2 linked regions of the Macaca fascicularis genome follow. The protein of the gene in region 2 interacts with the protein of the main gene of each other region in a biochemical or structural test. Links are inferred from orthologs where the notes say so. Each region holds a gene or a part of one and is shown on either strand. Other genes may lie near its edges.

Region 1 (6,464 bases), on a different chromosome or scaffold from region 2:
AAATAAATACAATTACTACTAAGTACAATCCATGCTATTATGAAAAGAAACTAAATAGAGGACTGAAATAGAAATTAGAAGAGGAGGGCTGGTTTGGACAGGGCAGTGAGGAAAACTTCTCTGCAGAGATGACACACAGGTGGATGTGAAGAATGAAAATGGGGCCAGTTCAGTGTGTGTGTGTGTGTGTGTGTGCGTGCGCGCGCGCGTGCGTGCGCACACTGGGGGAGGATGGGATTCTAGGCCCTACGGTAGGGAAAGAAGTTCGACTAGTGGGAAATGAAAGACTCAAGCACCTGGCCAATGATAAAGGGTGTAAGATAAGACTGGGAAAATGGGAAAAGTGCAGAATTACTCAGGGCCTCACAGGCTATGGTAACATTCCAAACACACACACATGCACGTGCACATGTGCACACACACAGCACATAGGCATGGGCACACTGAAAGCTTCAGGAGAAAAGAGATCATGAACTGAATGCTATTAAAATACAGTTCTGGTTGGTTGGTTGGTTGGTTGTTTGAGACAGGGTCTTACTCTGTCACCCAGACTGGAGTGCAGCGGTGCAATCTCAGCTCACTGCAGCTTGGACCTCTCAGGCTTAAGTGATCCACCCACCTCAGCCTCCTGAGTAGCTGAGACGACAGGCGCACGCTACCACACCTGGCTGATTTTTTTTTTTTTTTTTTTTTAATAAGTGAGGTCAAGCTATGTTGCCCAGGCTGGTCTGAAAGTCCTGGCCTCAAGTGATCTTCCCCAAAAGACAATTCTTCATACTTTCTGGAAATTGAAATGGAGGAGCTGAGGGTTGGCAGCAGGCAGGCCAGTCATGAGGCCACTGTGGAGTCCAGGTAAGAGAGGATGGTGGCTTAGAAAAACCAGGGCTATGGTGGCCATTGAGATGAATGGTGGAAAAGCAAGTGCATTTTGTGTGGGATCTGGTGGACTGGACGGTATATTGGATGTGAAAGGTAAGGCAGTACCAAGGACCACAGTCTTCAGCAACTAGAAAGATGAAGGTGAGGCAGGTTAGATTGGGGGTGACAGAGGGGAATCAAGGGTTGTCATCTGGATGCATTACGTTGAAATGTCTGCGAGGCCCCCAACAGAAGTGTCCAGGGGAACTGCTTCTGGGAGTCAGAACGCAGAGGAAGAATGGGGTTTGCCACCATACAGATGGTGTCTAAACCACAGAAATACGGCAGAGGGGATGGCAGTACCAAGTCCATGCAGCACTGGCTTTCCAGTCACTTCGAAGAGAAACCTGCCAAGAGGCCTGAGAAGGAATCACAGACAAGTCAAGAAGGAACCAGAAGGACAGCGCCACATGGGGGGAGCAGAAGGGAAAAGAGAAGGCCTCGGGAGGGGAGTCAGTTGAGTCCAGGCTGCTGGGAGAGGACGAGGGAGGCACAGAAGCGCTCCTCAGGCCGAGTTTCATGTGAAGAGCTGCAGTGGAGCAGTGGCTGGGGCTGAGGGAGGAAGTAGAGGCAGCAAGTGGCCCTGCTCTTGTGAGGAGGACGGCTGTGGAAGCGTCAGCGTGATGGACTGGCAAAGATGGATCCTGGAGAGGGATACTTTTAGAGATGAGAGGTAGAGCATGCTGATGGGAACGGTCCAGGAGAAAGCAGGGTGGGGTTGGAGGTCAGGAGAAGATATGAAGGACAGCTGAGGCACCCTCCCCCTCAGGTGCCCCCTCTCCCCCCCCACCGCCCGCCTTCCTCCCTCCACAAAGGCGAGGGAGCCATGGCCCTGGGACCTGGACCCAGGCTTGGATGGAAGGCAGAGGCCCAGCCCCCGCTAGGGTGGAGAAAGCCGTGGAGGGGAGGACCTGCCTTTGCTCTGGAAATAGAAAACCAACACTGGTAACTGAGTAACTCTCGGAGAGGGGTGCAAAGGCACTGGCAAAATCTGAAGGAACACAAATAAGCTGTACCGCTTGGGCAGCGAGGTGGATCGGATGTAGGGGGTGCAGCGGCCTGACCTGCAGGGGCCACAGGGCTCTTCCCAGTCCTGCCTGACCACAGCCAAAAGCGATGGTTCCTGGGAGGCAGAGCATCACCAAGAAAAGATCAGGCGCTCAGCCCCAGGCCGTCAAGTCCCATTTCCTCTACCCACCGCCACTGCCTGCTCCGACTGCAGCCTGGCGCACCACCCGGACGAACAGACGGACGAACAGACAGACGGACAGACAGACAGAGGCTGGCCTCGCAGCCTCCGCCAGCAGAGAAGGCCTGCGCGTGGGATCCAGCAAGGCCAGTGCCCTGCCTCCCTCCAACCACCGCCCACCCTTCTCTGACCGCGCCAGCGCCGGATCCCATCTCCCCTCCCACACCCCTCCCACCCGCAGGGGGCAGCCTTTACTGCCATCCTCTCTCAAACCTCCCTCACCTGCGGCCCCAAAGCGCGGGCTACACACCTGTGCACCCCACGCACCCGTGCACCCCCACACACCTGCGCGCCCCACACACCTGCGCACCCACACACCTGTGCATCCCTCACACCTGTGTACCCACACACACCTGTGCGCCTCACACACCTGCGCACCCCCTCACACCTGCACACTCCCTCACACCTGCACACCCCTCACACCTTTGCACCCCAAACACCTGTGCACCCCCACACCTGCGCACTCCCTCACACCTGCACACTTCACACACCTGCGCACCCCCTCACACCTGCGCACCCCCCACACCTGCGCACCCCTCACACCTGCGCACCCACACACACCTGCACACACTCTCACACCTGCGCACCCCCACACACCTGCACACCCTCACACCTGCGCACCCACACACACCTGCACACACCCTCACACCTGCGCACCCCCACACACCTGCACACACTCTCACACCTGCGCACCCCCACACACCTGCGCACCCCCTCACACCTGCGCACCCACACACACCTGCACACACCCTCACACCTGCTCACCCCCTCACACCTGTGCACCCACACACCTGCGCATCCCCTCACACCTGCGCATCCCCTCACACCTGCGCACCCCTCACACCTGCGCATCCCCTCACACCTGCACACCCCCTCACACCTGCGCACCCACACACACCTGCGCACCCCCTCACACCTGCTCACCCCCTCACACCTGTGCACCCCACACACCTGCGCACCCCCTCACACCTGCGCACCCCACACACCTGTGCACCCCCTCACACCTGTGCACCTCCACACACCTGCACACCCCTCACACCTGCACACCCACACACACCTGCACACCCCTCACATCTGCACACCCCCACACACCTGCGCACCCCCTCACACCTGTGCACCCACACACACACCTGCGCACCCCTCACACCTGCGCACCCCCACACACCTGTGCACCCACACACACACCTGCAAACCCCCCACACCTGCACTCATGACTGGATAGCAGGCTCCTCGGAGGAGCTTTCTACCAGCATCTAGGAGTCCCTGAGTGACAGGTTGGGCTGCAGGTGAACACACTGCCCTCTTTCTGCCTCAGTCCCGCTGTCCTCCCTTGCTTTGGGCAGGGCCCCTGCGTCCCTCTCTGGCCTCACCCCTGTCCCCAGGCTCACCGCCAAGGTCGCAGGAAGCAGAGGTGCGTCTCCCCCTGCAGCAGACCACCCTGGCCCTGCTGCTGTCCAGTCCCCAGGCCTGCCCTTCTCCACACTGCGCCAGGACAGCAGGGCCTTCAGGGAAAGGAGGGGCCAGGCTGCAGGGAGTGGGGCTGGGCCTGCCCTCCTGAGGAGGAAAGGAAGGTGAGAGTCAGTGACCTGAGAAGTTTCCATGAACTCTGCCCATGAGGGAACAGGGGAGGACCAGGAGGCTGGGCCCCACACAGCCGGAGGGAGCCACCTGGCAAAGTGGTTTCCCTACCATCAATTTCTAACTGAATCTTGAGGTAAACAGACACACCGGACCTGCCCTGAGGAAGGAGGCAGGTTGGGAACTGCTTGCCACCACGGGCATTAGAGGAGCCAGAGGTATCTGGAGCAGGGGGTGGGGGTCAGGGCTGTGGACAGCCTGGCCGTCCATCCTGGGCAAGGGGAGATGGCTTCCCCAGGAAGGACGGTGAAGGCTGTTCCCATCCCCTCTCCCACTGGCGCTGTTAAGGTACGGTCCGTTGATGGGTAAACTGAGTGCGTGTAAGTGAGAGAGAAGGGGTCATGGTTGGTCTGAGGAAGCAACCAGTTCAACACCTCCAGCTGCTGACTCAGCTGCCTCCCGTCCCCAGCCCTCAACATCTCCTTCCTAAGCCGGTGGGAACAAAGACGCCGCCAGTTTCCAGTTGTAAAAGTTGGAGGAACAATCAAGAACAAAGATCAAGGCTTCACATTTTCCATGACATTGGTGCAGGGGCGGGGACACCATGCCTATCTGGCACAGTCCCCATTCCCCATGCCCTCTGGAAAGCAGGAAACTGCCATGTGGGCATGGGCAGTGCCAGCCTCTCCATTAGCATGGCGCCTCCCCTGGGTCAGCCTGGGTGGCTGTCTTGGCCAGGCCAGGCTGTCTCCACAGAGTCTCCTGAATTCAGGGTCCCTCAAGCCCCAGTTCCTCCCATTTCTGGGAGATCAGCCAGCCTCAGAGGCCAAGAGCTGGGAAGCAGGGAGCCCACCCAGGAGACCCCCAAACCCGTAGCACTGTACAGAGGTCAATGGTCAGAGGGAGAAGGGCAGGGGGACAGCAGACAGAGGACTGGAGGTAGGGACTTGGGGGTGGGTGGGGTTGTAGATGTGGTAAGGGAGCAGAGTTCTGGAATCCATTTGTAAGATGTCAAAGGGCAGCTGAGACTGGGCTGCTTCCCAAGGTATGGCTGACATTGACTAGTCTCCTTGTCCTCCCACCCCTCTGGCACCCTATTCTCGCAGCTTCTGGGGGAGATAGGCACGTAGTGATGAGTCCACCCAGGTAAACAGATGATGATACATCTGTTTAATGGAGTACTCTTCAGCTGTTAAAAGTGACATAAACCCATTGATGCTGGCGGAGAAAATGACCAAGGTTTATTAAGTGGGAAAAAAAAGGTGAAAAATGATATGTAGATTATGATACCATTTTGTTAACAATAAACCTAATACTACTACATTTGAATATGTGTATCTAAATCATGTAAGTAACTATATATTTGAATGTACTTGAAAGAAGTATACAAAGATAAATATGAAATAGTTAAAAGAAATTATATCTGAGATAATTTAGACTTAGAGAGACATCTGTATACGAATTTTTATAATAAGCATGTATGATTTTATAAGAAAGAAAGAAGGTGAGGGCAGAGAAAATGGTTTGGAACAATCCAAGTCAGTGGATAGATGTGGACATGCCAGGTACACATGCACACACACACACACACACATGCACATACATACACATGTGCACACACACATGCACACACATTCACACACATGCATATATGCACACACATGTACACACATGCATACACGTGCACACACATGCACACACCCCCACATCCACACACATGCACACCCACACACGCGCACACACACACACCAAGCACACCTGGCCCACCAAGGAGGGCACACCTAGTGAATCTGGCAAAACTTGGGCAGCACTTGGCTCAGGCACATACCCACAATCCTGGGTTCCCTTGGCATGTGTCAGGAAGGGCCCAAGGCTCTCTCAAGTCACTGATCCTATCTCAGGTCCGCTCAGCTCCTCTAGCTTCCCCAGCCTCCAACTCATCTCCCTGGGAGCCTTGCCGTTTCTTGCCAGGTACTCAGGAACCAGGATCCTATTGATAAAGGCAGGAGAGTCAAAAATTGCTGGTGAACAGCACCCCTCCTGGCTATGAAGATGGCCTCCCTCTTCTCTAGGGCACTGGGGTGCTATCTGCAATGCTGGGCTGTCCCAGAGTTTCCTGTGGATTCTAGTTTGACCAAGGAACACCCTGGGAAACACCCAGTCAATCCAAAACATGATCCTGGTTCCGCCACTCATTTCTTCTCTGGTGTTGGACTAGTTATTTAACCTTCCTCAGCATCAGTTTCCTCAACAGTAAAATGGGAATAATAAGGTGATTGTGAAACTCCAAGATGATAATATCTAAGAAACTACAGTCTTTAGAAGACAAACAAGGAAATGATGACACAAACTTCAGGATCCCAGTTCCCTCAGGGTGGGGCAGGGGTTGTGATCAGGGAAGAACACAAGGCTTCTAGAGTGCCAGCAGTATTCTATGGCTTGACCTAGGCAGTGGAAACCTAGATGTTGGATTTATAATTATTTATTAATCTGTACATATATATTTAATATACATATGCTATGTTTCACAGTGAGAAAAAAAAGTAAATACTTTGGACATTTTCCTGCTCAGTATAAATGTAAAAGTAGTAGTAGGAAGTGCAAATTCCCATCTTCATACCCTCAGAGGAGCATCTGGGACTCTCAATTTCACCTGATTTCCCAGGGAATTGAAAACAGGTAGAGAGTGGGAGGGCTGTGGCTGAGTTTGCTGGATGGC
Region 2 (5,655 bases):
CATCTAAATTGTATCCACTTCCCCAACCCCCAAACCATCATATGATAGTAAATATAGACCATAGCAATTTTATATCTCAGTATGGTTGTAAGGTGATTGCTTATATTAAAGAATTCCATGTCAACGAATCTGTTAGATGTTCTTTTGAGCTAACAGGATGTCCTAATTGTAAAACTCTTCCCTCTAATCTGAAATGCTTTATAAGGGCTGCCAACTTGATTATGTATTATCAAGGAATATACGTTCTCAAGATGTGAATGTGACATATTCATGTCCTTTGCTTCTGAGATTGGTTGTATTTCTATTGAACATACTCAGTTTGTCTATAAAGAGTTTTCAGTTAGTGATGTCGTATTTCAAAATAGGTCGAAACTTCAGAGAAATGAAAATCGGGATATCAGTGAAGTCATTGCTCTCGGTGTTCCTAATCCTCGGACTTCCAATGAAGTTCAGTATGACCAAAGGCTCTTCAACCAATCCAAGGTACAAGTTTAGGAAAGCATATTGTTGTGTTGATGTGAATACCTATCCTCAGGGAAACGAAAATTACCATACTTCATATTTGGATGTAAATGCCAGCATGATGACAAAAAAATTGGAAGTTGTATGTTGAAACTTGAGACAAGAAAGATGAAACAGTTCTGATTTTAACTTCTTACAGTGGACTGAAATTTGAGACACTAGGAGAAGAAAGAAATTAGCTGATTAAAAACTTGGTGCTGTACTCGGGAGGCTGAGGCAGGAGAATGGCGTGAACCCGGGGGGCGGAGCTTGCAGTGAGCCGAGATTGAGCCACTGCACTCCAGCCTGGGCGACAGAGCGAGACTCTCTGTCTCAAAAAAAAAAAAAAAAAAAAAAAACAACTTGGTGCTGTGGTATGTCAATCTTTTGTTTTTAAAATAGAACCAGGGAGGACAGGCACGGTGGCTTTTGCCTATAATCCCAACACATTTGGAGGCCGAAGCAGGCAGATCACCTGAGGTCAGGAGTTTGAGACCAGCCTGGCCAATGTGGTGAAACCCCAGCTCTACTAAAAATACGAAAATTAGCCAGGTGTGGTGGTGCATGCCTGTAATCCTCACTACTTGGGAGGCTGAGGCACGAGAATTGCTTCAGCTTGTGGTGAGCCAAGATTGTGCCACTGTACTCTAGCCTGGGTGACTGAGACTCTATCTCAAAAAAATAAAATAGAGCCAGTGTCCTACAAAAGTTCCTCTTGGGTTTTTTGTTGTTCATTTTTGGGTTTTTTTTTTTTTTTTAATGCTATAGAAATATGTCAATTTGGGAATCTTTTAAAAATGAAGCTGTAAAACTGGATTAAAGTACTAGGCTGGCTGTCAGGAAATCTGATTTCTAGTACCAATTGCCATTAGCTAACTAGGACACTTTAAGCCTGGGAAAACACAAGGCGGGTGCGTGCACACACACACACACACACACACACACACACACGGTAAGAATACAAAGGTGTAAGTTCTACTGGAAAGTGGAGTGGGAAACTTTATGACTTGGAGGTTTTAAGTAAGCTCTTCTAAGTGATAATTTATTAGGTGCATTTTATATTCTTGGCATTGTTCTAAATCTTGTTATTATCTCAATTCTTACAAAAATCCTTTGAAATAATACTATTCTCTCATGTTATAGATGAGGAAATTGAAACACAGGTTTACCTTGTGACTGATGGAATTAAGATTCAAGTCTTGATCTCAAAGCTTTATTATTACTATTTTTTTTTGAGATGGAGTCTCACTGTCACCCAGGCTGGAGTACTGTGGCGCCATCTTGGTTCACTGCAACCTCCACCTCCCAGGTTCAAGGGATTCTCCTGCCTCAGCCTCCTGAGTTGCTGGGATTATCACAGGCACATGCCACCACGCCCGGCTATCTTTAGTAGAGACAGGGTTTCATCATGTTGGGTCAGGCTGGTCTCAAACTCCTGATCTTGTGATCCTCCCGCCTTGGCCTCCCGACGTGCTGGGATTACAGGCGTGGGCCACTGCGCCCAGCGCATTTCAAAGCTTTCTTAACCACTATACAAAGGCAGCTTACCAGCTGAGCAAAGGGATCTAGGGGTGAAATTTCACGTAAGTAAAATATTTTCAAGATAATCACCTGTTAGAAGCTTAAGCTTAAAACATTTAAAAATTGTGATGAAAATATTTCTGGCTGGGCACTGTGGCTCACACCTGTAATCCTAGCACTTTGTGAGACCTAGGCAGGCAGATTGCTTGAACCCAGTTTAAGACCAGCCTGGGCAATATGGCAAAACCCTGTGTACAAAAAATTAGCTGGACATGTTGGCACACACCTGTACTCCTAGCTACTTGGGAGGCTGAGGTGGGAGGAACACTTGAGCACAGGGAGGTTGCAGCTGCAGTGAGCTTATATAGCGTTTTGTGAGACCAAGGCAGGCAACCACCTGAGGTCAGGAGTTCAGGACCATCCTGGCCAACATGGTAAAACCCTGTCTCTACTAAAAATACAAAAATTAGCCGGGTGTGGTGGCACGTGCCTGGAATCCCAGCCACCTGGAAGGCTGAGGCAGGAGAATCGTTGGAACTGGGAGGCAGTGGCTGCAGTGAGCCAAGATCACGCTACCGCAGTCCAACCTGGGTGACAAAGCAAGACTCCGTCTGAAGAAAAAAAAAAAAAGAATCCAAAGTTATGAAGTTTATGTGCTAGCAGTTTTTTAATGAAGACCTTTAATTTGCAGTTCAGATTGTTGAAAATGTGAGCTACAAATTAGCAAGGGTTTACTGTAAACATGTTATGATTCAGCTTTTGATAAAGTGTTTACACTTTTATTTAATGTCATCCATTTTTCCACAGGGTATGGACAGTGGATTTGCAGGTGGAGAAGATGAAATTTATAATGTTTATGATCAAGCCTGGAGAGGTGGTAAAGATATGGCCCAGAGTATTTATAGGCCCAGTAAAAATCTGGACAAGGACATGTATGGTGATGATCTAGAAGCCAGAATAAAAACCAACAGGTACCAATCCATACAACTCAATTTCAGTGTTTACACTGGTGAAAGCAAAGTAGTTCATAGTCTTTTCTCTTTTTCCCTAGATTTGTTCCCGACAAGGAGTTTTCTGGTTCAGACCGTAGACAGAGAGGCCGAGAAGGACCAGTTCAGTTTGAGGAAGATCCTTTTGGTTTGGACAAGTTTTTGGAAGAAGCCAAACAGCATGGTGGCTCTAAAAGACCCTCAGATAGCAGCCGCCCCAAGGAACATGAGCATGAAGGCAAGAAGAGGAGGAAGGAGTAGACACAGGTCTCTTCATAGTGAATGAACTATTACCCATTACCCTAATGATGCAAGTCATACGGGGGAACACTTTGTAAATGGTCAGGATAAAAAACAAATCTGGGTGTCGGATCCCAGCACTACTTTTTATTACTGGAGAATGGGGGGGAGATAGAAAATTCTACTTTGAATTACTTAGTTTTTTTAAAGAGTGGGTTGTGTTTGTGCTTTTCCCACCTTTCAGCATTTATAGAACATGCTGCCCCACATACAAAGTCAAGACCACTTCCTTTTGTGTGACACTAGTAGTTTGGGGTTAATATTTTGTGTAAGAACAGCTGCATATGAGTAAAGTTACCCCAACCACAGTGAGGAGGATGTTCACATACTGGAACTATCCTGCCAAATAAATTTTGCCCCTGTTGTGCTCTGTTTTAATTTGGAGTGGGCAAAGTAACCTCTTGCTTGGTGCAACTATTTGTTTCAAATAAAAACATTTAGACAAAATTCTCAGTTATGTTAACTTTATTAATAGGCTGCGGTCTCAAAAATCTTTCTCTTCATCATCAGATGTCGGCAGAACTTTTGGCTTTTGAGCTTGAACCTGGACCTGAAAAAAATAAGCACTGTAAGGAAGGAAAGGCAATGTTTGCAAAAACATTCAAACTGAAAATCGCTTTTTTATTAGGGAATCAGTATGAATAACTCAGGCAGTTTTTATTTGTACCTTGTTCTTTTGTTTTCTCCTCAAATTCCTTTTACCATCTTTCTTGATATTATGACTCCCTAACCCTCAATTAAAAATTGTAAATCAGGCCAGGAGCAGTGGCTCAGGCCTGTAATCCCAGCATTTTGGCAGGCTGAGGCAAGAGGATTGCTTGAGGCCAGGAGTTCAAGACCACCCTGCAACATAGCAAGGGCCTGTCTCATTAAAAATAAATTTAAAAATAAAATAGTAGATCAATTTGGCCCAAGATCACATGGTGGGAAAGCCAAGATTTCAGCCCCAGCTTGCCTGACTTGAAAGGTAGACTGCTGGCTGGGTGCGGTGGCTCATGCCTGTAATCCCAGTGCTTTGGGAGGCCGAGGCGGGTGGATCGCCTGAGGTCACAAGTTCGAGACCAGCCTGACCAACATGGTGAAACTCAATCTCTACTAAAAATACAAAAAAAATTAGCTGTGCGTGGTGGCACATGCCTATAATCCCAGCTACTCAGGAGGCTGAGGCAGGAGAATCACTTGAACCCAGGAGGCAGAGGTTGCAGTGAGCCAAGATCACACCACTGTACGCTAGCCTGGGCAACAAGAGCGAGACTGTCTCAAACAAACAAAAAGAAAAAAGTAGACTGCTATGTCCACTGTGTTATATAAACTGGTTACTCTACCACCCCCCATTCTTTTTCTTTTCTTTTTTTTTCAGATGGATTTCGCTCATTGCCCAAGCTGGAGTGCAATGGCGCGATCTGTCAGGTTCTTCTGCCTCAGTGTCCAACCTGTCTCCCCGGTTCTTCTGCCTCAGCGTCCTGAGGAGCTGGGACTATAAGCATGTGCCACCATGCCCGGCTAATTTTTTTTGTATTTTTAGTAGAGATGGGGTTTCTCCATGTTGGTCAGGCTGGTGTCAAACTCTTGACCTCTAGTGATCCCCCCACCTCAGCCTCCCAAAGTGCTGGGATTACAGGCGTGAACTACCACACCTGGCCTACCACCCCATCATTCTAACAAGCATTAAGGTAGCTTCAGTTACAAATCTCTCAAAGTCCCCATCATTCCATATTTATGATCTATTTGATACATAATTAAATAGTACCTACATGTATATCATACATGTGTCTGGTATAGAAAAACAAATTTACCTTTACTCCATCTATAATATGATATTCCTGTTGTAGTGCATTCTGAAGTTCTTCTTCTGAAGAAAACTGAACCCAACCCAAACCTCTGTGAAAGCCAGTCCCCTTGTCCTAAAAATTCAAAATATAGGAAAAGATTAATCATGAACTTGAGAAAGTTTCCAGGAGCTCCAAATCAAACTACCAACTTTTTCATCTGCCAAAAATCAGATTTTTTTTTTTTTTTTTCAGGCAGGGTCTTGCTCTGTCACCCAGGCTGGAGTGCAGTGGTATGAGCCGGACTCACTGCAGCCTCAACTTCCTGGGTTCAAGCAATCCTCCCACCTCAGCCTCTTCAGTAGCTGGGATCACAGGTACATACCACCATGTCTGGCTCATTTTTTATATTTTTTGTAGAGACAAGGTCTTGCCATCTTACCCAGGCCGGTCTCAACTCCTGGGCTCAAGCAGTCTTCCCATCTGGGCCTCCCAAAGTGCTGGAATTACAGGCATAAGCCAGCATGCTCAGCCAAAAATCGATCAAAGACATAGGTGTCGGTAACCTTGCTTTA

Evidence for each region. The genes of interacting proteins can lie anywhere in the genome.
Region 1: the proteins of SNW1 (region 2) and VDR form a complex in vitro, tested with the Homo sapiens proteins (2 studies listed by BioGRID, with this or other methods). The link is inferred for Macaca fascicularis from reciprocal best matches to the Homo sapiens genes SNW1 and VDR.

What each region holds. Positions count from the first base shown.
Region 1 is NC_088385.1:54,686,978-54,693,441, forward strand, and holds the start of VDR (vitamin D3 receptor), read right to left. Parts: upstream 3,652-6,464; 5' UTR 3,556-3,651; intron 1-3,555.
Region 2 is NC_088381.1:145,671,854-145,677,508, reverse strand, and holds the end of SNW1 (SNW domain-containing protein 1), read left to right. Parts: intron 1-365; coding exon 366-483; intron 484-2,829; coding exon 2,830-3,297; 3' UTR 3,298-3,758; downstream 3,759-5,655. Other genes in the region: SLIRP (SRA stem-loop-interacting RNA-binding protein, mitochondrial), read right to left, coding at 3,796-3,861, 5,108-5,215. UniProt on the Homo sapiens protein: Involved in pre-mRNA splicing as component of the spliceosome. As a component of the minor spliceosome, involved in the splicing of U12-type introns in pre-mRNAs.